Linked DNA regions of Saccharomyces cerevisiae S288C. The gene in region 3 interacts genetically with the main gene of each other region. Each region holds a gene or a part of one and is shown on either strand. Other genes may lie near its edges.

Evidence for each region.
Region 1: mutations in CBS1 (region 3) and BIL1 together harm fitness more than expected from each alone (negative genetic interaction), as found in Saccharomyces cerevisiae (one large-scale study listed by BioGRID).
Region 2: mutations in CBS1 (region 3) and EBS1 together harm fitness more than expected from each alone (negative genetic interaction), as found in Saccharomyces cerevisiae (one large-scale study listed by BioGRID).
Region 4: mutations in CBS1 (region 3) and ERP2 together harm fitness more than expected from each alone (negative genetic interaction), as found in Saccharomyces cerevisiae (one large-scale study listed by BioGRID).

Annotation. Positions count from the first base shown.
Region 1 is NC_001147.6:887,973-890,687, forward strand, and holds BIL1 (Bil1p), read right to left. Parts: upstream 779-2,715; coding exon 548-778; downstream 1-547. Other genes in the region: RRG7 (Rrg7p), read left to right, coding at 1,050-1,778; MCH5 (riboflavin transporter), read right to left, coding at 1,895-2,715.
Region 2 is NC_001136.10:860,192-865,282, forward strand, and holds EBS1 (Ebs1p), read left to right. Parts: upstream 1-1,862; coding exon 1,863-4,517; downstream 4,518-5,091. Other genes in the region: metal cation transporter MSC2, read left to right, coding at 1-1,329; DNA-binding transcriptional regulator UME6, read right to left, coding at 4,821-5,091. UniProt on the Saccharomyces cerevisiae protein: Plays a role in nonsense-mediated mRNA decay (NMD). Recruits UPF1 to cytoplasmic mRNA decay bodies (P-bodies). Negative regulator of gene expression. Inhibits translation most likely through effects on eIF-4E (CDC33). Involved in telomere maintenance.
Region 3 is NC_001136.10:332,621-335,623, forward strand, and holds CBS1 (Cbs1p), read right to left. Parts: upstream 1,191-3,003; coding exon 501-1,190; downstream 1-500. Other genes in the region: BDF2 (Bdf2p), read left to right, coding at 1-320; COX9 (cytochrome c oxidase subunit VIIa), read right to left, coding at 1,597-1,776; isocitrate dehydrogenase (NADP(+)) IDP1, read left to right, coding at 2,215-3,003. UniProt on the Saccharomyces cerevisiae protein: mRNA-specific translational activator of cytochrome b.
Region 4 is NC_001133.9:137,124-140,326, reverse strand, and holds ERP2 (Erp2p), read left to right. Parts: upstream 1-1,981; coding exon 1,982-2,629; downstream 2,630-3,203. Other genes in the region: Hsp70 family ATPase SSA1, read left to right, coding at 1-824; FUN14 (Fun14p), read right to left, coding at 2,817-3,203. UniProt on the Saccharomyces cerevisiae protein: Involved in vesicular protein trafficking.

The DNA.
Region 1 (2,715 bases), on a different chromosome or scaffold from region 3:
GCATTATATAATGAACCGTAGCCACTTCTTGACCACTATCTTCAAGTTTGATAATGATAAATGACAGGTAATCATATTTCAGTCACCTTTTTCCCTTCAATGAAATGTGATATCGCTGCAAAAATGGTGAATGAAGAGGACAAATTAAGTCTAACTGGGTCGAGCCGCTTTAACTAATTCATATCCATTCTAAGATAATTGAACTGCTGAAAACTAAAGCCTGCTTTGATACTTGTCATATTGTATTTATCTACAAACTTACATTAACAACAGTGTACTGAATTATAAGAGAGCAATTGCCAAAAAAGTCATTTAGTTAAAACTTCTCCATTTCAAGTTTCCAAGGATAGGTGAAGTGCTATCCCAGAGACTCCAAAAACATGCGAATATATTATTAAGTTTCAGTTGATTAATATTTCTAAACCATATAAAAAAGCACGTATTTGGCACGATCTGTAGTTAATTGCAACCTAGTTACGCGATAGCACGCGTTTTCTTTTTTATGAATAAAAGCATTAGAAGTTTCCATGTTACTACTCACCTGCTCTCACCGACTCATTTTGTTAAGCTTGTCTTCAATTGCTTGTATACTGCGTGAAAACTCATCATCATTTTCCTTCATTTGCCTCTGAACATCCTTTAGTGATTTTTCTATTTCATTTGCCAGGTCAAACACGGTTACAATATTTTCTGTATCTCCCTTTATTGAGTTAGTCTCAGATGTATTGGCCAAGGGAGCCTGTGGTTCCTCCGAAGCTTCCAGTTTTTCAGTACTCATTACAGTGCTCCTTCAGAAGATGCAAGTCACATTTACAATATCATTTAGCGCTAAGGTAAAATGTACCTGTAAGCCAAGCCGCTTCATTGGTTTGCTAGTTTTTTTTTTTTTTTTTTTTTTTTCAAATTATTTATCGAGGCCAACTGAAAAGCAAAACAACATGGTTGATCGATACATAGAAATTAACGACCAGGAAGCGAAATACTGCAGCAAATTTCTAAAGCTTCTTCCTATATAAAACACGGTAAAGAACGGTAAAACATGATAAAACATGATAAAAAACTATTTGGGACGAAGATGGCTCAATAATCCTGCAATTCAAGCATATGTGAAACAAAATGCTGCTGTCGCCCATTCTACGGTGTTTCAAGGAAATCTTTATGAATATACGGTGATGAGGGAGTTATCTGAGAAACTACGAATGACAAAGTTGAGAAAAACCGGTGGCGCCCATGATGGTGGCGTAGACATAAAGGGAAGCTGGCCAGTAGATGATATTTATTGGAAAATTTCATCGTTAATGCCCAATTTGGAAATGGCTAGTAACATAAAAAGAACGAACTCGCAAAATGGCTTCGTATTGAAACCTTTAAAGTATAGGATAATCGACCATACTTTTGAACCATTGAAAGTACTAGTCCAATGTAAGGCTTTCACTAAATCAAAATTATCTCCTAGAGAATTCCGTGAGTTAGTAGGAACATTCACCTCACTAGTATCACATAGTCAACGCAACAAAACAGTATGCATTATGTGTTCCCCTCATATGTTAACAAAAGATACCTTAAATCTTATCAATAACATCACGCTTCCTCTGATATATTTACGTGTTGAGATGCTGAAAGAGAAGACTGACGGGCACTTTGACTTAATCAATTCAGGAAAACTAATTAATTATTACGAGAATTCATACGCCTCTACGTTAATGCAAGATTGCAAGATTTCTGAATGGCTGAAGTTGAAGTTGTACAAAAATAGTGACTTTAATTCGGAAAAATAAAAAAAAAAAAAAAAACATAAGGAAATTTTAATTAAATAGTCTATCTACACATTTCCTAAAAGAAAATATTATTGCATTACTTTTTTGAAGATCTATAAAGGGCACTGTCTTACTTTTTAAAATCTGACCCACTTGAAGCCAACACAGTATGCTCTCGAAATTATGTAGCAAACAGCGCTTACAAAAGTTGCCAAACCGCAAAAAATAATATAGTGTTGGTAATCGGCCGTTGTCTTGATAGAGATAATGGCACCTGTTATCGGAATGCCGACTAAAGTACCGAAACCGACAACGAAGTACATTGTAGAGTAACGTTTACCGAACTCTTCCGTTTTAGATATCTGGCCACAGCAAACAGGAAGTAAGGAGAAAACGCTTCCAGAACAAAATCCATATAGGGCACTAATAACGTACATATTTGTCAAATTGGTACCAAATGGTAACCAACCAACAAACATGACGATAAATAGAGTGAGTAGAGTTGCAATTGCGACGTTAAACCTACCGAACTTATCGCTCAAATAGCCAGGAACCCATCTCCCGGGTATGCCGCAGACATTTATAATCATAATCAAGGTGTAGGCGTCATTAGCAGAAATTCCATGGCTGGTGGCGTATGATCCATAATAAGTAAGAGCTGAATTAATGGATAACTCACTAAATACCGTTCCCAGGACACAAAAAAGATATTTCATATCCAGGAAAGCCTTCGCATCAAAACATTGCAGAATATAAACTCTGAGTATGTATCTCCAACGTGACTCACCATCTTTGGAATTTTCGATAACATGTGGTAACCTCTCTTTGACTAAAATGATTGACAGAGTTAGCAAAGCCAAATCTAAAAATCCTAAAGTTCTAATGCCCCAAACAAATCCATAAGTTGGATCAGTGTCTGACTTCATAGAGAAGAAACTACGCAACATAATTGGGAAAA
Region 2 (5,091 bases), 530 kb from region 3:
GAATATTGTCGTATGTTTGACATAAAGTACATGATTTCCTATTTATGGCTGACAAGGTTCACCATTTTATTGACAGGCATAATGGCTATTGTAGTACATTTTTTATCGTTTAATGAAATTACTTCTTCCATCAAAACTGATTTGTTAAGTTTACTTTTCGTCGTAGTGGCAGAATATGTTTCCAGTTTCTCTAACAAACAACCTGATTCGCACTCCCATAATCATGCACATCACCATTCCCATCTAACCGATTCATTGCCTCTCGAAAATGAAAGTATGTTCAAACAAATGGCATTGAATAAGGACACCAGGTCCATTTTTTCGTTTTTATTGTTGAATACCGCTTTCATGTTTGTACAACTTTTATATTCCTTTCGTTCCAAATCATTGGGCTTATTATCTGATTCGTTGCATATGGCCTTAGATTGCACATCTTTGCTCTTAGGTCTAATTGCTGGTGTATTGACCAAGAAACCAGCAAGTGATAAATTCCCTTTCGGTCTAAATTATCTTGGTACCTTGGCAGGTTTCACCAATGGTGTTCTGTTACTCGGCATAGTGTGCGGTATCTTTGTGGAGGCAATTGAGAGAATTTTCAACCCCATTCATCTTCATGCAACAAATGAGTTGTTGGTTGTTGCTACGTTAGGCTTATTAGTGAACCTTGTAGGTTTGTTTGCCTTCGACCATGGTGCACATGATCATGGTGGTACTGATAATGAAAACATGAAGGGGATTTTTTTACATATATTGGCAGATACATTAGGTTCTGTTGGCGTTGTTATTTCGACGTTATTAATCAAGTTAACACACTGGCCAATTTTTGATCCGATCGCCTCTTTATTAATTGGTTCCTTGATTTTACTTAGCGCTCTGCCCCTGCTAAAATCTACTTCCGCAAATATTTTACTAAGACTGGATGACAAGAAGCATAATCTAGTAAAGAGTGCGCTAAACCAGATTTCAACGACGCCAGGAATCACAGGTTATACAACTCCTAGATTTTGGCCGACAGAGTCAGGCAGTTCCGGGCATTCACATGCACACACGCATTCTCATGCAGAGAATCATAGCCATGAGCATCATCATGATCAGAAAAACGGTTCACAAGAACACCCGAGCTTGGTGGGCTATATTCATGTACAGTATGTAGACGGCGAGAATTCGACAATTATCAAGAAAAGAGTTGAAAAAATATTCGAAAATGTGTCGATTAAAGCGTGGGTACAAGTTGAGCCTCAAAATTCCACTTGTTGGTGCCGGGCTACTTCTATGAACACAATTTCAGCTAACCCGAATTCTTTACCGCTACAGCCTATAGCAAATTGACAATTCTTTGTCCTGCATACCTTTTATATTAATTTTTTAAACAAGATTTCATATACATAACGGTACCTATCGTAATTATTGGCGGCTGCTTGTGTTGATCACGTCTTACGGGAAATATCACAATGGAAGAAAAAAAATACTTCTAACGAAGGAAAAGATGTCATCCAGCATTGACCTCAAATTACCGAAGAGGTTGATAAAGCAATTAGCATCCAATCGGTATCATAATTCGGAAATTAAGGGGGAATCCTCTACATTTGGTGTTTCTTCTTTCCATATATTTTGAATGTTTTTTTCCTATGAAAAGTGTCTTCAGGAATCATATATGTAAAGAGATCATTCAATTAAATACATCATCGAACTAAGATTATAAACAAGAATTTAACAAAGTCACTTAATATATCAAAAAGAAGGCTTTTAGGAACTCAAAAATCCGCATCATTTGCAATTTAAAACGTACGTCATCAGGCGTATATATTCAAAGAAAATATCTCAGTTTCATTGCACTGGCTTACAGTTGATATTTCAATTAAATGGAACCATCGAATACCCAAAAAGAAGATCTTCCTACCGCTTTTAATGGTATAAAAAGTCAATTAAACAGCATATTAAAATCGAATCAATTATTTCAAGATTATGCGCTATTAAATGGGTTCTTGGCATTTGTTCATTCCAAATTGAATGCCGCAATCCTTACATCTATAGAATCACAATGTGGGAAATCCTTTGCGGCTGATCTTGATTCTTTTGATCAGAGCAGTATCTCTTCGATTTTAGATTTTTCTTGGGAAAGCGTTCACTATCCAATATTCAAATGGTTTCAGATGTGGAGGAATTATATTCTTTTTGAGAAGGAGAATAAAAAACAGCAGACCAAATTTATCGACTTTAGAAAGATGAATTCGAAGATGTTAAAATTCTTCAAAACGGTGCAAAACTTCTATGTCAACGTTATCAACACGGTTTATAAGAAATATGATATATCTGTACTTTTGCCGAAAAGGATTATCCAAGACTTAAAGTTAAGTGACATCGAAAATACCACTAATGTTGGAGACATTCTTGCGGTGAAGACATTTAATAGTAGTAGCCCACTCGCACATCTCATCCCAACGCTTTTCCATCGCTGTCTCTTATTCTTAGGAACAGCGTATCGTTATAAAACTCTCCTCGAAGAAATTTCCAATAAATACAGCATATCCAATTTTAAAAAATCTCTGGACTTCTTTCGTTTAGCTTCGTTGGTGTTACCAAGTGCTGGTGAGACGTATTCGCAAGCAGGAGCGATATTCCTTCAAACAGGAAATTTGGGGATTGCAGTATTCAATTTTGTTAAAGGTATGATGACGAAGATGCCAAGCCCTGTTTCAATCAAAAATTTTGGGGCATTAATGGTGGACAATAAAAGTTCATTAAATCGTAGCTTGCATACTACTATCATGAACACTTACTTACAAGAATCTAAAGGACCCAGGACACCTGCTAAAGAGATACTAGAATTTTATTTCCTGGGCCTTTTTGGGTCTGTTTGGTCACCTACCAGTTGGAGAGATGATACAAAACCTAACCAATTAAATAACGGTATCAAGTTAAGGCATTTGGAAAATGCACTCTACGAGACGATGTCAGCAAGATACCTGAATAATATTAAGACCATCTTTCACAATTTGATCATTACAATTGGTGGGTTCCATCTATTATTAAAAAGGCGTTCCGATGTAAGTGCAAAAACCTTGAAGGATTTACGTAGCAATGAATTGGATTACCTAAATTTTGCATTCAAGTATATTGCTCACATTTTAAATGATATCGTTAAGGAATCATGGAGCGAAAATCCTGAGGTTTCAGAAATTCTAGGTATGGTAAGAATTATCAATTGTTGGATAAAAGCAAATCCCATGGTTCTTCAATATTCACAAAGTAATCTAGAGTTTGTTAATGCCTTGGCATACTTGATAAATGATATTGTGAAAAAAAAACCAAGTCCTTCTTTTAGTATAACAGAACATATTCCTAAAAGGACATACTGGTTCGAAGAAGACTTAATGGTGAAGGGTTTATCATTCGTTAACTTTCAACTATCTGATTTTGACGATTATGAAAAAATTCTTGAAATGGATCATAGTCTCGATAGATTAATTGGTAATCCGCCATTATGCGACAAGTTATCGGCATCATCTGAAATGCTGTTAAGGTTGCAGGCTGTTGTGAATATAAGTTCGCAATTATTGCAGAACAACAACTGCGGAGTAGAATGGTCAGATAATAAATCACGTTATATCTTTAATAAGAAAATTGGATTTAAGGAGACCGTTAAAAATAGTATGAAGACATCGAAGCAATCCAATGAAAAGGCCAAGTTACAAAGAAAAAACAAACCTTCGACCACTAATGGCTCAATATCCATGGCGGATTTGGAGAGACAAATGAGAAGTAGCTCTTTGGATTCTTTTTCTCCAACTATGGGTTATAGTGGTTCGTCTGTACCTATGGCCCCAGATACGTTCAATGTTAAGCCCAGCGGTACAATAACGGGGAACAAAGTAAATGTAGAACTGTTAAAAATCGAACTAAGCGGTCAAAACGCCGATGGCGCTATTACGAATATATCTCCTGGTTACAGTAACGCAGCGATCTCTTCTTCAAATTCGACAGATGAATCATCCTTCGATTTGAACAACATCCTATCTTCAATGCAACAAAAGCACGCGGAAAAATCATTTGCCAAATCCATGCAAGGGGTGAATGAACAAATTCCAGCGAATGACGTCTGCCATCAAGCCCAGAGGCCAATGCAAGGTGGTCTGTATTCATCACAGCAACCTTCATCGATGTCTTCATTAAACTCCGCGTATCAGAATGCCTCGATGCCTCCATCTGCCTCCATGGTATCCTATCCCTATCCTTTTTTGAACCAGCAGGGGCAAGGGGTCTTTCCGCCTTATAATGCACAAAATTTACAATGGCAGAGCGAAGCTTACTCATTAAAGTCAATGAATTTTGCAAATCCAACGTGGCTAGGTGACCAGTACCAGACATCTGCGCCGTCGTCAGCATATGCGCAAGCGCAACGGCAAATGTTTCAACAACCTATGCAGCAAGATGTGGGGAAGTACATGCAATTTCCTTTTGACGCCCAAAGCAACACGGACAGCATGAGGGGAAACAGTCGGAATAATATGTTTTAATATTGTTCGTTTTTTATCATAGTTTTTCAAATCTTCATATGAATACTAGGTAGAAATTTGGCTTATCAGTACGAATGAATTACAGTTTGACTGATTTGTACACGAGAATTGACGTATAACTTCTTTTGAAAGTCTTTGAAATTACATGGTAGTACATACATATATATATATATATATATATGTTATATTATTGTTAATTAAATATTATTATGCGTATTTTCCTTTTCTTTATTAGTATAGTATTAATGACAGTAATAATAATAATAATAGTAACAATATCTCTTTTTTTTTTTCAGTGAGCTTTTATTTTTTTTTCATTGCTCTTCTTTTGGCCTCTTTTGTTTTTTTCTTGATTTCCTCCAGTTTCATCTGTTTTTTCTTTGGATCAGATACAAAATCTGGTTTGAACGCGTCATAGTGACAGTCCAATTTCAACCTTTCACAGTTGAAACAGTGCGGTCTTTCCTCGGTACACTTCTTTTTCCTTAATCTACAAATCCAGCAACCAGTACGGGACCTTGTACCTTGAGACGTTGAGGAAGTAGCATTATTCGATTCTTGAGAATTGTTTGCT
Region 3 (3,003 bases):
ATTTAGAAATGAATGGGATGATTCGTATCATTAAAAATTCATTACCCGCAGATGAAATACTAACTTCCAATGAAGATGAAATTGAAATTGATTTGGATATTTTAGATGAAGCGACTATTGCAAGAATTTATGAGAGATATTTTGAGAAAAAAAATAACAACAATAGCAAAAGAAAACTAAGTGGCAACTACTCGACTGCGCCAACTAACAAGAAAAAGAAAACCTTGAAATTTTTGGAAAAGGATGAAATCATAAATAATAATAATTATTCCGATTCTGAAGAAGACAGTAGTGATAGTAGCGACAGTGACAGTGATTAACAATCGAAATGGGCTTCATGCCCTAATTAAGGAAAAAAAGAAAAGAAAAAAAAAATTGGGAAGAATGGGGATAAAAAAGATTTGTAACATTATAAACAAAAATAAGAAATAATTGTTTTTACGTACTTATTGTAAATAAAACAAAGGGATAACGGACAAAAAGGCATCGTTTCTTTTGTACTATGATTTACGCAAATGGTAATTAATTAGAGGTATGCATATAGTTTTTATAATTGATTCAATGAATTTTTTGTTATCGTTTTTAATTTCGAGTAATTTCAGGTAACCAATAAAGGATAAGATCACTTTCCAATCGTTCAAGTTCTGAAAATCATTAGAGCTGGAAGTTAATCCCATTTCCTTCGGCAAATTGGCAGGTATTCGCAAATGAGCTAATTGGTTAATTTTCAACGAATTCTTGATAAGCCAGCTTATCGAGTCCATGTTCACTACTCGAGCTCGATCTAAGTTATGAATGTAATTGAAGTTTTTGTTCATTATATTAAACTGATTGAAATTCGTAAATGTTATTGTAAGCATCTTATTAATTTCCAAGTGAATGAGCTGTTCACCCAATTTTTGTAAAGTTTCGTTTCTTGTTTCAAATGTATTTCCTGTGCTCAAGTCTCCAGTCATTGGTACTCGTACCAACATATTCCTGCTTGTGGTATATAGCAGTTTAGTTAGTTCTTTAGTCGGTATGCGTTCCTTTCCTTTATATCCGTCAGGATTAACTTCAAGGACTTCACACAGTTTTTCTATCTTACTAATATTCTTTTTCGTCACCGTGTTTATAGTTCTGATGGGAATATACCTGCGAATCCCAGATATTCGAGCAACAGTAGTTGCAAACACTTTTGTCCTCAACATGTCGAGATTCATTATCTGATTTATTCTTTTATCCTGCTATAAAGAAACCATAGAAGAATAGAAGCAAAGGGGTAGTACGTGGCACCTCCTAAAGGTAATATTGTACTATTCCTAGTTCACTCAAGGTCTGCCTGTCTTATTCTCCACATACATTTTCTATAACTCTTTTTTTAAGTTTGTTTTTATTTTAGTTTGACACTACATAAATATGTAAAACTATTTTTTCAAATTATACAAATAGAAAATTATGATAAAGGTCAAAAAGAAAGAAAAGAATGACTTGTCTGTTTTCCTTCCCTACAAACTCTTGCAAAAGTAATCAATCGAGGCCAGCACAGAAAAAAAATAAAAGATAAATAAATAGGAATAAGAATATAATGCGAAAAACAATAGTGGTCAGGTTCGGTCAGTTCTCTTGCTTTTTCCTCTCAGCTAGCTCTGCGTAGAACTTCTCTCTCTTGTTAATCTTATCCATGTGGAATCCCCACCACCAGTAAGAGGCCATGACACCCCCGAGGGAGAACCCGAGGACGATGTCCATGATGACTCTTCTCTTGATCGTACCAGTAATTGGAGCAATAGTCATGTCTGTGTAAGTCGCTTGTAGTTAGTAGTTTGCAAATATCTTGCTTGCTCTAATTCTCGGTCCTAATTTTCCCTGAAGATAAGAGTCTCTTTCATCGATTCTTTTAATACCACAGGAACAAAGCGGGCATCGTGGTAGCGGGCCAATCAGGTTGCAGTAAATGAAGAGATATAGAGGAGGACTCTGCTAAAGACCATAACAAGGGTCTGCAATGATCTTGGACTAAATAAAGGTGTCTTACAATCCAAAAGAGCTTGAATCATTCCTTTTATGAGCTAAATAGCACCGTTTGCACCTTCTGATAACGCTTTACGGGTCACGCGCGGATTTTGACTCACATAATTCCACTTGCCCATATAAAGAGGGACTCATATGATCTTATGAAATCTTCCTTCAAGCAATTGTGAGACAACAGACGCACAAGGAAGATCGCCCAGCATGAGTATGTTATCTAGAAGATTATTTTCCACCTCTCGCCTTGCTGCTTTCAGTAAGATTAAGGTCAAACAACCCGTTGTCGAGTTGGACGGTGATGAAATGACCCGTATCATTTGGGATAAGATCAAGAAGAAATTGATTCTACCCTACTTGGACGTAGATTTGAAGTACTACGACTTATCTGTCGAATCTCGTGACGCCACCTCCGACAAGATTACTCAGGATGCTGCTGAGGCGATCAAGAAGTATGGTGTTGGTATCAAATGTGCCACCATCACTCCTGATGAAGCTCGTGTGAAGGAATTCAACCTGCACAAGATGTGGAAATCTCCTAATGGTACCATCAGAAACATTCTCGGCGGTACAGTGTTCAGAGAGCCCATTGTGATTCCTAGAATTCCTAGACTGGTCCCACGTTGGGAAAAACCAATCATTATTGGAAGACACGCCCACGGTGATCAATATAAAGCTACGGACACACTGATCCCAGGCCCAGGATCTTTGGAACTGGTCTACAAGCCATCCGACCCTACGACTGCTCAACCACAAACTTTGAAAGTGTATGACTACAAGGGCAGTGGTGTGGCCATGGCCATGTACAATACTGACGAATCCATCGAAGGGTTTGCTCATTCGTCTTTCAAGCTGGCCATTGACAAAAAGCTAAATCTTTTCTTGTCAACCAAGAACACTATTTTGAAGAAATATGACGGTCGGTTCAAAGACATTTTCCAAGAAGTTTATGAAGCTCAATATAAATCCAAATTCGAACAACTAGGGATCCACTAT
Region 4 (3,203 bases), on a different chromosome or scaffold from region 3:
GTGCTGCTGTTCAAGCTGCTATTTTGACTGGTGACGAATCTTCCAAGACTCAAGATCTATTGTTGTTGGATGTCGCTCCATTATCCTTGGGTATTGAAACTGCTGGTGGTGTCATGACCAAGTTGATTCCAAGAAACTCTACCATTCCAACAAAGAAGTCCGAGATCTTTTCCACTTATGCTGATAACCAACCAGGTGTCTTGATTCAAGTCTTTGAAGGTGAAAGAGCCAAGACTAAGGACAACAACTTGTTGGGTAAGTTCGAATTGAGTGGTATTCCACCAGCTCCAAGAGGTGTCCCACAAATTGAAGTCACTTTCGATGTCGACTCTAACGGTATTTTGAATGTTTCCGCCGTCGAAAAGGGTACTGGTAAGTCTAACAAGATCACTATTACCAACGACAAGGGTAGATTGTCCAAGGAAGATATCGAAAAGATGGTTGCTGAAGCCGAAAAATTCAAGGAAGAAGATGAAAAGGAATCTCAAAGAATTGCTTCCAAGAACCAATTGGAATCCATTGCTTACTCTTTGAAGAACACCATTTCTGAAGCTGGTGACAAATTGGAACAAGCTGACAAGGACACCGTCACCAAGAAGGCTGAAGAGACTATTTCTTGGTTAGACAGCAACACCACTGCCAGCAAGGAAGAATTCGATGACAAGTTGAAGGAGTTGCAAGACATTGCCAACCCAATCATGTCTAAGTTGTACCAAGCTGGTGGTGCTCCAGGTGGCGCTGCAGGTGGTGCTCCAGGCGGTTTCCCAGGTGGTGCTCCTCCAGCTCCAGAGGCTGAAGGTCCAACCGTTGAAGAAGTTGATTAAGCCAATTGGTGCGGCAATTGATAATAACGAAAATGTCTTTTAATGATCTGGGTATAATGAGGAATTTTCCGAACGTTTTTACTTTATATATATATATACATGTAACATATATTCTATACGCTATAGAGAAAGGAAATTTTTCAATTAAAAAAAAAATAGAGAAAGAGTTTCACTTCTTGATTATCGCTAACACTAATGGTTGAAGTACTGCTACTTTAATTTTATAGATAGGCAAAAAAAAATTATTCGGGGCGAGCTGGGAATTGAACCCAGGGCCTCTCGCATGCTTTGTCTTCCTGTTTAATCAGGAAGTCGCCCAAAGCGAGAATCATACCACTAGACCACACGCCCGTACTAATTGATGTCTTCCTTTTCGGATAGATGTATATATATACAAATTGGTCAGATTGCTTTTGGCTCCCTTTCGTACGTAACTCATTTAGACTACGGATCACTAGCACTATCTCACCAAGTTTTTAAAAGATCCACTGTGATCATTAAAGATTCTATTTCAAATAAAAATCAATTATCATCTATCGACTAGTTTTCATGGTACTAGTATATTATCATGTACAGTGTGAGGGCTCGACATGAAGATTGAGAAGACAGTCATCGTTTTCAATGGAAGCTGAAATACAAGCACTGAATAAAAAGAGATAACAATATTTTAATGTCGTGATATTGGTTCCCTTCTGCTGGTCTTCGAGGAAAATTTCTGGTATGTTTTGTGTATCTAATATTATATAGCCTTAAATCACTACCTATTTTTCAGATCCGCCAAGGAAGCCACTCTGTGAACTTTAAATAATATTACAAATTGCTACAGCATCTCGAATTCAAGTGTTTTCAGACTTATTTATTTAATTCAAGAAAATGTTCATAAACTTTCATAAAGCAATCCTCAATCCTCTTAGCGCTAATGTTCACTGCACCTTACATGATGGCGTTTGGTTATATTTCAATCCTTTTCAGCGACGTGTCCCGAAACACGAAAAAGTACATTCTGCCAAAACTTGAACTAGTTAAAATGAAAAACTAACAAAATCTCCAGTGATTTCGATTCATTAACCTTAGGGATCGACACCGCCAATTCTGCATCAGGTGACCCAAACTAGAATAAGATAAACAGTGGAGTACACTCATTGTAAAGGAAAACCATGATCAAATCTACAATTGCTCTACCCTCTTTCTTCATTGTTTTAATTTTGGCGTTGGTCAATTCAGTGGCTGCATCTTCCAGTTATGCACCAGTTGCTATCAGTTTACCAGCATTCAGCAAAGAATGCCTGTACTACGATATGGTTACTGAGGATGATTCCCTGGCTGTGGGTTACCAAGTTCTAACCGGTGGTAATTTTGAGATTGATTTTGATATTACTGCTCCTGATGGATCTGTGATTACTAGTGAGAAACAAAAGAAGTACTCAGACTTTTTATTAAAATCGTTTGGAGTGGGGAAGTATACCTTTTGTTTTTCCAATAACTATGGTACAGCGTTGAAAAAGGTAGAAATTACACTAGAAAAGGAAAAAACTTTGACTGACGAGCATGAAGCTGATGTCAATAACGATGACATTATTGCCAATAACGCCGTGGAGGAAATAGATAGAAACTTGAACAAAATCACGAAGACTTTGAACTATTTGAGAGCCAGAGAATGGAGAAACATGTCTACCGTCAATTCCACCGAATCAAGGTTGACTTGGTTATCTATATTGATTATCATTATCATTGCCGTTATAAGTATTGCCCAAGTTCTACTTATTCAATTCCTCTTCACTGGTCGTCAAAAAAATTACGTTTAAGAACTTTTCAATCTACGAAAAATATATGTCCGCAATATAGAACACAATTAGGTTTATATTCGACGTGATTTTTTTTTCTTCCTTAGCCCTATGTATATTTACTGTATAGGATAAATGAAATACCAAAAATAAAAAAGTATAAAACGAAAGAATATAACCCTCGTTTATATCTGGTCATTTGTCTTGCTCATTTGTTAGCATTTAAACTTGCTAATACGAAACTCAATGTAAAGAATACTTTAAAACCCATGTATTCTGTACCCAATAACCCATCAATAAGCAGTTTCTTCAAGTCTACATCTTTCAAAACAATTACAGATTTGATATTTTTCAAATTAATGCGAATCCATCCCTTGTACCGTAACCATTCACAAAGAAGCATGCTTGTAATACCGACATACATAAACAAAATTGATATCTTAGCCACCGTAACTCCTAAAACAACACCGAATAATGATCCCAAAAACATCTGCTTGTGACTACTTATTTTGTTCCTCCTTTCCTCGGTAATTGCCGTACTGTTGCCCACAGTTGGTTCCAAGGGACCCTGTTGTTTGACAGCTGCCCCTAAAGA